Linked DNA regions of Canis lupus familiaris. The protein of the gene in region 1 interacts with the protein of each later gene in a pairwise test. Links are inferred from orthologs where the notes say so. Each region holds a gene or a part of one and is shown in the gene's direction. Other genes may lie near its edges.

What was found. The genes of interacting proteins can lie anywhere in the genome.
Region 2: the proteins of ADAMTSL4 (region 1) and SMARCC1 interact in binary tests that used the Homo sapiens proteins (3 or more experiments, as listed by UniProt). The two-hybrid records come from large-scale screens. The link is inferred for Canis lupus familiaris from reciprocal best matches to the Homo sapiens genes ADAMTSL4 and SMARCC1.

Annotation. Positions count from the first base shown.
Region 1 is NC_049238.1:60,392,285-60,397,049, forward strand, and holds the start of ADAMTSL4 (ADAMTS-like protein 4), read left to right. Parts: upstream 1-1,714; 5' UTR 1,715-1,845; intron 1,846-2,105; exon of another isoform or gene 2,106-2,266; intron 2,267-3,184; exon of another isoform or gene 3,185-3,312; intron 3,313-3,593; exon of another isoform or gene 3,594-4,192; 5' UTR 4,193-4,278; coding exon 4,279-4,298; exon of another isoform or gene 4,299-4,484; coding exon 4,485-4,542; exon of another isoform or gene 4,543-4,765. UniProt on the Homo sapiens protein: Positive regulation of apoptosis. May facilitate FBN1 microfibril biogenesis.
Region 2 is NC_049241.1:41,658,861-41,663,134, forward strand, and holds part of SMARCC1 (SWI/SNF complex subunit SMARCC1), read left to right. Parts: intron 1-1,396; coding exon 1,397-1,510; intron 1,511-2,312; coding exon 2,313-2,466; intron 2,467-2,948; coding exon 2,949-3,062; intron 3,063-4,274. UniProt on the Homo sapiens protein: Involved in transcriptional activation and repression of select genes by chromatin remodeling (alteration of DNA-nucleosome topology).

The DNA of each region.
Region 1 (4,765 bases):
CTGCTTCTCCCTCTCCCTCTGCTCCTCCCCCTGTTTGTGTGCTTTCTCTGTCATGTTCTCTCTGAAATGAATTTATAAAATCTTTAAAAACAAAAGAATCATCAGGTAGGAGCGTCTGAAACCCTGTGATTTTGTGGAGTTGTAGGACAATGTTGCTAGAGTTGCTGCTGCTACTGCTGTTTCTTTACTTCTTTAAGAGAGAGTGTGAGTAAGAGAGAGAGAGAGCATGGGCGGGGGTGGAGCAGAGGGAGAGGGAGAGGCAGACTTCCTGCTGATCAGGGAGCCTGATGTGGGGTTCCACACCGGGACTCTAGGATCACAACCCCAGCCCAAGGCAGGCCCTCAAATGACTGAGCTCCCCAGGCTCTCCTAGAGCTTCTATTTTTATGTTTTTATTTTTCAAGAGAAGCTATTAACTATCTGGTTTTAAAATATTGACAAGTCAATAAAAAAAAAAAAGACCACAAAGCTTGAAAATACTGTGCACTTGGGTAGCTCAGTCAGTCAATTAAGCCTCGGACTCTTGTTTTGGCTCAGGTCATGATCTCAGGATTGTGAGTTTGAGCCTGGAGTCCAGCTCTGCATTCAGCAAGGACTCTGCTTGAGTTTCTCTCTTCCTCTCCCTCTGGCCCTCCTGCTCTTGCTGTCTGTCTGTCTCTCAAATAAATAAATAAATCTTTAAAAAAAGAAAAAGAAAATAGTCAACCCAACAATCTGTCACTATGGTTCATGAGTAGATGGCAAATAAAAATCTTAAATAGTAGTAACCATTTATTATCTACTCTATGTCAGCCATGTTGTATAAATTATTTATTTATTAACGTAACTAAACATAGAGCTTCTGGGTGAAAACTCAAACAATACATAAGCGGACAGGGTAAAAAGCTAAAGCCTATTTTTTTTTTTTTTTTTGCTCCCCAGTGTGACCACCCTGAGTCTGGGGTGCATTCCTCCAGATCCGGGTGGGCAGCCCTATCTCCCAGCCCATCAGACACGTCAGATTAGTTCCATTTTACAGACAAGGAAACTGCAGCACAGAAAGGTTGAAGTCTTCACCCAGGGTCACACAGCTGGCGCCTCCTGGAGCTAAGATGCACATCCAGATCCTCTGACTCCTAAGTCAGCGCATTTCTTCTGCTACACGCCCTATGTGTGTAACATTTTTTTTTTAAAGATTTTATTTATATATTCATGAGAGAGACACACACACAGAGAGAGACACAGAGAGAGAGGCAGAGACACAGGCAGAGGGAGAAGCGGGCTCCATGCAGGGAGCCCGACGCGGGACTGGATTCTGGGACCTGGGGTCACGCCCTGGGCGGAGGCAGACAGACGCCCAACCGCAGAGCCAGCGTCCCCGTGTGTAACGTTTTATGGATGGAGAAATCGAGGCTCGTCGAGGTCCCCGAGCCGTCACACCGCGCGGCCACAGCCCCACCCGGGGCAGGCCGGGCTGATCCGCCCGCACGAGGCTGCGCGGAGCGGCGGGGGGAAGCCTCCGCTCAGAGCCAGCGAGCAGGCCGGGCCCCCGCCCCCCGCCCCGCGCCCCGCGCCCCCGCCCCCGCCCCCGCCCCAGCCGGGCCAGCGCTCGCGCCAGGGACCCGCGGGGCCCGCACGCCGGGTGGTCGCGGCCCGCGGCGGGGGCTGGGGGCCGCGGAGGGGCGCGGGGCGGGCGGGCGCCAGCAGGCAGGGGCGGGGCGGGGCGGGCGGGGGGCGGAGCCGCGGCCGGAGGCCGTGGTGTCCCGAGCGCGGCTCAGGGGCCGGAGTGGCCGTCGCGGAGCAAGGCTGCCTCCAGACAGCGCTCGGGCACAGAAGGGTTAAGGCCGCCGGGGCCGCGCGGAGCAGGTACAGACCCCCCTCCCCGAGACCCCGGCCGCCCGCCCTCCCGCCCGGTCAGAGCCCCCGCCGCGCCGCCCCCGCGTCCCGCGGTCGCCACCCCAGCCGCTGCTCCGGCCCCAGCTCTGTAGTCTCCGGAGATCTTCCAGTTCCGGGGGTCGAATTCCTGGGGAGGGGATTCCGATCCTGCGGAACTCTGGCCCCATCACCCGGTCGGAGAATCAGCCAAAATTCCTACTAAGTCGCGGGAGTGAAGTTGGAAAACATACCCAGGACCTCCCCGCACGCGCTGGCGCCTCCTGCCCTCCTCCTCCGGGAGGGTGCTCCTTCGAGGATGTGTGCCTCTGCCACCCCCTTAAGTCTCGGGGTTGGGGCCAGGGACGCTGGGACCGGTGCCGGGGGTTGCCCTTGATCCAGCTCAGCCCGAAGACTAGAAAAGGAAAGACACCTGTTTGGATGGTCCTCCGGACCAGGGAATGGAGGGCACAGTGAGGACCAGGAAGTTCTGACCCAGGAGAGGGGCTCTCCTGGAACACGCTGTCCCACCCCTCCCCTGCAGCAGCAACCCGTTTCCCAGAAGTGGGTCCCTCTGGGGGTGAAGGGGTTAGCCCTGCCTGGGTCTCTCCTTGATCCTCACTGGCCAGTGTGGAGCTGTGGCCAGGAGGAGCCCAGGTTTGTCCAGACCAGTGTCTAGCCTGGTGCCGGGGTGACCACTTCTGACCTCTCCCTTCCTCACCCTGGGCAGTGAGACACCCCACATGAGGAACATGAAAAGGGGTGAGAAGCACAAATGTATGTCTGTCTCTGCAGTGGAGGGGGTGTCGGCCCCCTGCCCAGCTGTACAGGGGGTGGGGTAGGACTTTTCCAGAGAGGGAGCCAGGCCTGGCCAGGGCTCCAGGAGTTCACGTCACCCCCACCCCCCACCCCTCACTTCTCCAGGGAACTGCCAAAGCCAAACCCAGCTCAGGACGGGATTATGTGTACTGGGTAGACCCGCAGAGAGAGACAGCAAGATACAGAGCCGGGGTAGCAGAGAGAAGCAGAGACTGTCCAGAGGGAGTGGAGAGGGTAGCCAGCAGCAGACAGGGACAGATGGTGACCATCACCCCCATCTCTCCTCTTCAACCACAGGAACAGAGGCAGGCCAGAGCTAAAGGTTTGGGTGGACCGTTGGCTCTTCTCAGAGCCTCTATACCCCCATCAGGGTGGAGCAGCCATCAGCAACCCCTTCTCAACCTAAAGCCGCTGAGGTGACCCTGTGCACCCAGGCCCAACCTCTGCAAACCCTCCCACAGACTTCCAAGTCTTGGGGTCTCAGAGAGGAGACTGGGGCTGAGAGTGTCCTTACCGCCAAGTACATTCCTGCCCTTCCGTCTCATTCTCCTGCCCCCGAGCTGGCCCACCTCGGCATCAGCTCCTTGGATTCCTCTCCTGGGTGCCTTTCAGATCCAACAGAAACATTTTTTTTTTTTTTTCCTGGAAAGCAGAACCAAGAGCAGGTTGAGGAGTGAGGGTGGGAAGGGCTCAGAGTGAGCAGCAAGGGGCTGGAGAGCTTTGAGACCAGGGGTGGGTTCCATGCTCTACTTTGCTGACGATGAAAGGTAGGATGGACTTCCTTACTCCTCAGAATGATAGGCCTGTGGCTGGGGAGCAAGGGCAGCTCTAGCTGCATCTTTCCTTCCTGGGTACCCCCAGCCTGTCATCGTTGGGCCTGACATAAGCTCTCATTGCCAGTGCAGAGGGATGGGGAAAATCACCTGCTTCTCCAGAGATTAAATCATCAGCCCACTTAGTTTATCTCTTGGCTACAAAGTGTTTGAGTCCGGCAGAGATGCCTGAGTGTTCCAGAAGGAGCTTCGTTAAAAATGGGAGAAAGAGCTGGGTGGCAGGTAGGGAAAGGAACTCCCATGGGGCTTCTGGTCCACTCCTTGGAGTGGGTGTCCCACATGTTGTCACCCATGCCTCCCTCGGCCATCGGGGTCCTCTGGGAGGGAGGAGGGCAAACCAGATCAGAATCATCTTCAGGAAGAGCGTGTGCTGTGTGGCCCAAGCTGTCCTGTAAACAATCCCTAGTGGGGAGGAGGGAGGAGCTGAGGAGTTCCTGCAGGCTGACAGGAGGGGACTGAGCCACTGAGCCACGGTCTGGAGGCTGAGGTCAGCCCCCCACCTTCCAGCCTCAGCGGCCCAGGAAGGGCAGCATTCCTTCCTGCTCTCACCCTTAAGGTCAGAGGGGGTGGACCACTCCCCCCACACCCCTCCATCCTCTCTCAGAGATGCCCTTCTGAGTAGCCCTCCGTGCCAACCCCCTGGCTTTCTGGCGCCTGGAGAAGTGACCACATGGCTCCTGTCCCCACAGAGCGTGCCCTCTCAGCGCCCAGATGCGGGAGTAGTGTGTTTACTCCCGGTCCTCTGTCCCCTGCCCCGGGCATCCAGGGAGGAGCGATGGAGAAGTGGGCGGGCAGGTAAGTGTGGGGCTGCCAGCCGGAGGGCCACTCTGTCCCTGGAAGTGAGGGGACGGCCACTGCTGGGCAGGGCGGGGGCAAGTGATGGGCAACTTCTGCTTTCTGAGAAGCTGGCGCCGGGATGCTGGCTGCCCGCTGCGGGGCGGGGTGGGGGGTGTCACAACACCTCCTCTGGCTGGTTGGCAGGCCCCGGTTATGTCTGATGCTGCTTCTGTCCCTCCCGGAGCTCTGCCTGGAGCAGGAGGTAAGCCAGGGGCCAGAGGGTGTGATCCTTTCTTCCTCCCTGGCTCCCACCCCACTTCTCCAGGCCACGCAGCCGCCCTGCACGGCTTCAGATGAGCCGGGGCGCCTCTCACGTTCGCCCTCCCAGCCTCTCTTTCACCCTCCTGGCCACATCTCACCCCTGCTACTGAAAGTGACCTCAGTCCAGTAACGACTGCCCGACCTTCGGGTACTGGACCAGCCGT
Region 2 (4,274 bases), on another chromosome or scaffold:
TGACTTCACAAATAGATGTCTCTTATTTAAATTGGTAGAGAAGGATAACTGTCCACATAAAACACATATTGGAATAATTGAATAATATTTTCTTGTAAAAGATTGTCCATGATAGTTTGAGATTTGAAGATTAGATGTCAAAGATAATTCAACCTTTCTATAACAAAGCTGTAAGGATTCATTTAAAACCACAATCACAGATTTGGTATAAGAAACCCTGATAATTTTTTTTCATCTAGTTAGACATGGTATATTCTTTTGGCTAACTTGGCAATTGCTACCATTTGTAAATAGTTCCAGTTCTTGGCAGTCTCTTGTTTAAAAGCACAATTTAGCATTTTAGTTTCCGTAAATCTAAAAATTTATCTTTAGATCTTTGTTTATCCACTTGTCCATATACGAGAGCTTTTTTGAGCAGGGTACCTTCTCTACTCTGATGTAGTCACCCTTAACTTGCTAGATTTTTGTTTTACTTTTGTGGTGAGAACTTTTGCTAGCTCTCTAGCTTCTTTTCACTTGTTTTAAATATTTTGTCATAGAAATGCTTAGGGATGTTGTGAAATCTGCTGTGACTCAAAAAATCAGTTTCTCTCTCTCTCTCTCTTTTTTTTATCTGTTCTTGTCTTAGCTTTGATTTTGCCCTCATGGGTTCTAGTCCTTGCCTAACTGGGTATATAGCCACTGACCTGACCCACATGTAGCTCTAGGAAGAATATAGAGATGAGATGGAACATGTGTTAAGAGCATAGATTCCAGAGTATCTCCCTCCACCATGTTGAATTCTAGCTCCATAGTTACTAGCCTTGTGGTCTAGGACACAGTTTTTAATCACTCTGTGCTTTAATTTGCTTGTTGATAAATGAGATGATAGTAGTAAACCCTACTTTATGAAGAAATTGTGAGATTTAAATGAATTATGGTAGGATACACAGTAGTTGGGAGACAGCCTAAGTGACCAGGTGTTATTTGCAAATTCAGCAGGGAACTAAGGATTTATCCATTCACCACTGTGACCACTTTTGTATTTATGTTCACATTACTATTATCATCATCATTTTTAAGCGAACTCTACCCATTGTGGGTCTTGAACTCCCCTCCCCAAGATCAAGAGTCACATGCTCTATCAACTAAGCCAGCCAGGCGCCCTGTGTTACTTTAACTTCATCAGATTTTACTCCATTTTATTTATTGTTTTTAAATAATAGTGGGTTTTCTTTTGCATATTAGGGGTTTTTATCCTTAGTTACATTCATGACTGTAAATAGTCAATACTATTGTTGGTTGGAATATTGACTTTTTGGTGGATTTGGTTGGAATATGATAATTTTGGGCTCTGTGAGTTGTTATTTCTGAAAGGATGTGTGTCTGCCTTATGAATTTTGCCTCTGCTTTTTAGATACTTGGCATATCGAAATTTTATGATTGACACATATCGCCTAAACCCACAAGAGTATTTAACCAGCACTGCTTGTCGGAGGAACTTGACTGGAGACGTGTGTGCTGTGATGAGGTAAAGATGCCTGAGTTTTTCTCAGACACTTCACTTTAGGTGGTTACTGATGCATTGCTGTTTAATGTTTGATGAAACAAGATCTTTTCTTTCTTAATAAAATACCTTAATCAAATATCTTTTATTTAGTTGTATATTTAATACCGTGGCATTTTCTCCTCATTTTAAGATTTTTATAACTGACATCTTTTGTTTTATAATGAAATCCTAAAACGACCAGGGATGGAGAGTGGATAAGCTCTGTACAGTAGATCTATCTAAAGAAGCAAATCACATGTGAATCTTCTGTTTGAATTTGGTCTGTGTGTGAGTTCTTTCACCATGGACTTCAATGAACATTTGTTCTCTGATTTCTGTGATTGAAATAATTAGGCTTTGTACTGGGTTTTGGGGTGCTTTGCTGTCAATATTTTTTTTTTTTTAATTTTTATTTATTTATGATAGTCACAGAGAGAGAGAGAGAGGCAGAGACATAGGCAGAGGGAGAAGCAGGCTCCATGCACCGGGAGCCCGATGTGGGATTCGATCCTGGGTCTCCAGGATGGCGCCCTGGGCCAAAGGCAGGCGCCAAACCGCTGCGCCACCCAGGGATCCCGCTTTGCTGTCAATATTATTTTGAATTTACAGAAATTGTCCCTCATACAACAAACCAAAATTGTTAATTAACTTTATGATGGTTCATAGCCTGCAGAGAACATTTACTTGTTTTGTTGTTTTTATTTTTTAATGAAATGCGATAATGGTTATGAAGGAAATGAGATACATTCCCTAGATTTTAACTTTATGAGCTTTACTCTTCCAGGGTTCATGCCTTTTTAGAGCAGTGGGGGCTTGTTAATTACCAAGTGGATCCAGAAAGTCGACCCATGGCAATGGGACCTCCTCCTACTCCTCATTTTAATGTGTTAGCTGATACCCCCTCTGGGCTTGTGCCTCTACATCTTCGATCACCTCAGGTAACTTAATTATTACATTAATATTATAGTTTTAGTATTAGTAATTATTACACTAAAAAACTAGTATCAGGCATTATTATTACACTGATTATACACTGATGTGTGAAACTTCTTCCCTTTCCTAACTTTTGGAAAGTGGATATCCACACACATACATTCTTGAAAAGATTAGTATGTTAACCAGATTTTATATAGCCTTAAGTTAGAGTAGCATGAGTCTAGGGCAAGAATTGTTCTTTACATGAAATGGTAGAGCATATTAAAGAAAATCTGTTTACTGTTTTCTCTGGGATTTAAGAGAGGCAGAAAAATGTTGCTTATATAGTATGTTGCAATGTTGGAAGTGTAGGGCAAAGGTTTGGATATTTATTTTTTTAATAAAATCTCCTTACATGTCAGTATTAAACAGTACTGTAAAACCTTCTATCCCCCCTTACTTTGTAGAGGTTAATACAGCCATCTATCATTTGTCCAACTCCTAGGTCCCTGCTGCTCAGCAGATGTTAAATTTTCCTGAGAAGAACAAGGAGAAACCAATTGATTTGCAGAACTTTGGTCTTCGCACTGACATTTACTCCAAGAAAACCTTAGCAAAGGTAAGGACTTTTTTCTAGAAACAACTGGGCTGCAATCCAGCATGTCCTCTTCTTTGTCCTAAGAAGTGTCATTTTTCATAAGAAACTTAACTGTCTATAATGTAAAAGGGTACACATTCTACTTACTCTGTTGGCATTTTATAAAACAAGTCATTTACCATTTTTTCTGTATGGTTAGAATGGTAGGTATTTTAAACTAACTCTGATTAATATGTTAAATAAAATGAGAAAAAGTGGAGAATTTCAGCATAATTGGAATCTATACAAAGAATCAAATGAATATTGGATAATTAAAAAAATACACCCGAAATTAACTCATTGGGTGATTTTAGCAGCAGGTTGAGCACAACAGAAGACAGGATTAAATGAGCTCAGACTGGGGGTGCCTGGGTGGCTCAGCAGTTGAATGTCTGCTTTTGGCTCAGGGCGTGATGCTGGATCCGGGATTGAGTCCCACATCGGGCTTCCTGCATGGAGCCTGCTTTTCCCTCTGCCAATGTCTCTGCCTCTCTCTGTGTGTCTACATTAATAAATAAATAAAAATCTTTCTAATAAATAAATAAATAAGCTCAGACTGGGTAGTAGAGCCAGCTGGGTGAGGGAGGAGGACAGAAAACAGAATGCAAGGGACGCGTGTTTATCATTAGACACCTGTAAGAAGAGAAAGAATGAAGCAGAAGTGTATTTGAAGATGTAATGGCTGAACATTTTTGATTAAAAAAAAAAAAAAGATACCAACTCATAAGAGAATCTGAACAGATCCAAAGTTGGATACAGAGGAAACCATGTTCAGTCATATCATGCTTAAACTTATCTTAAAAACCGAATCTTAAAAACAGCCACATTTTGAGGCAGTGAGCAAGTTGGAGAACACATTAAATTCAAAGGAACAGTCATAAAACTGATGTCTGACTTTTCAACAGAAACACCAGAAGCCAGAGAACAGCATAATAACCTTTAAAAACGCTGAAAATGAAGCTGTTCTGGAGTTCTGTATGCAGTAGAAGTACCTTTCAAAAGTGAAAGGCAATAAAGACATTGATAAAGGAATGAGGGCATTACTAGTACACAGTGTAGGAAAACTGAGGGAGGTTTTTCAGGATGAAGGACTTTGATCCCTGATGGATGCACATGACTAGGAAGGAATAGGTCCAGGGGAAAGAATGAAAGTATGATTAAATATAAAGGAATATGGACTGTTTAAACGGTGAT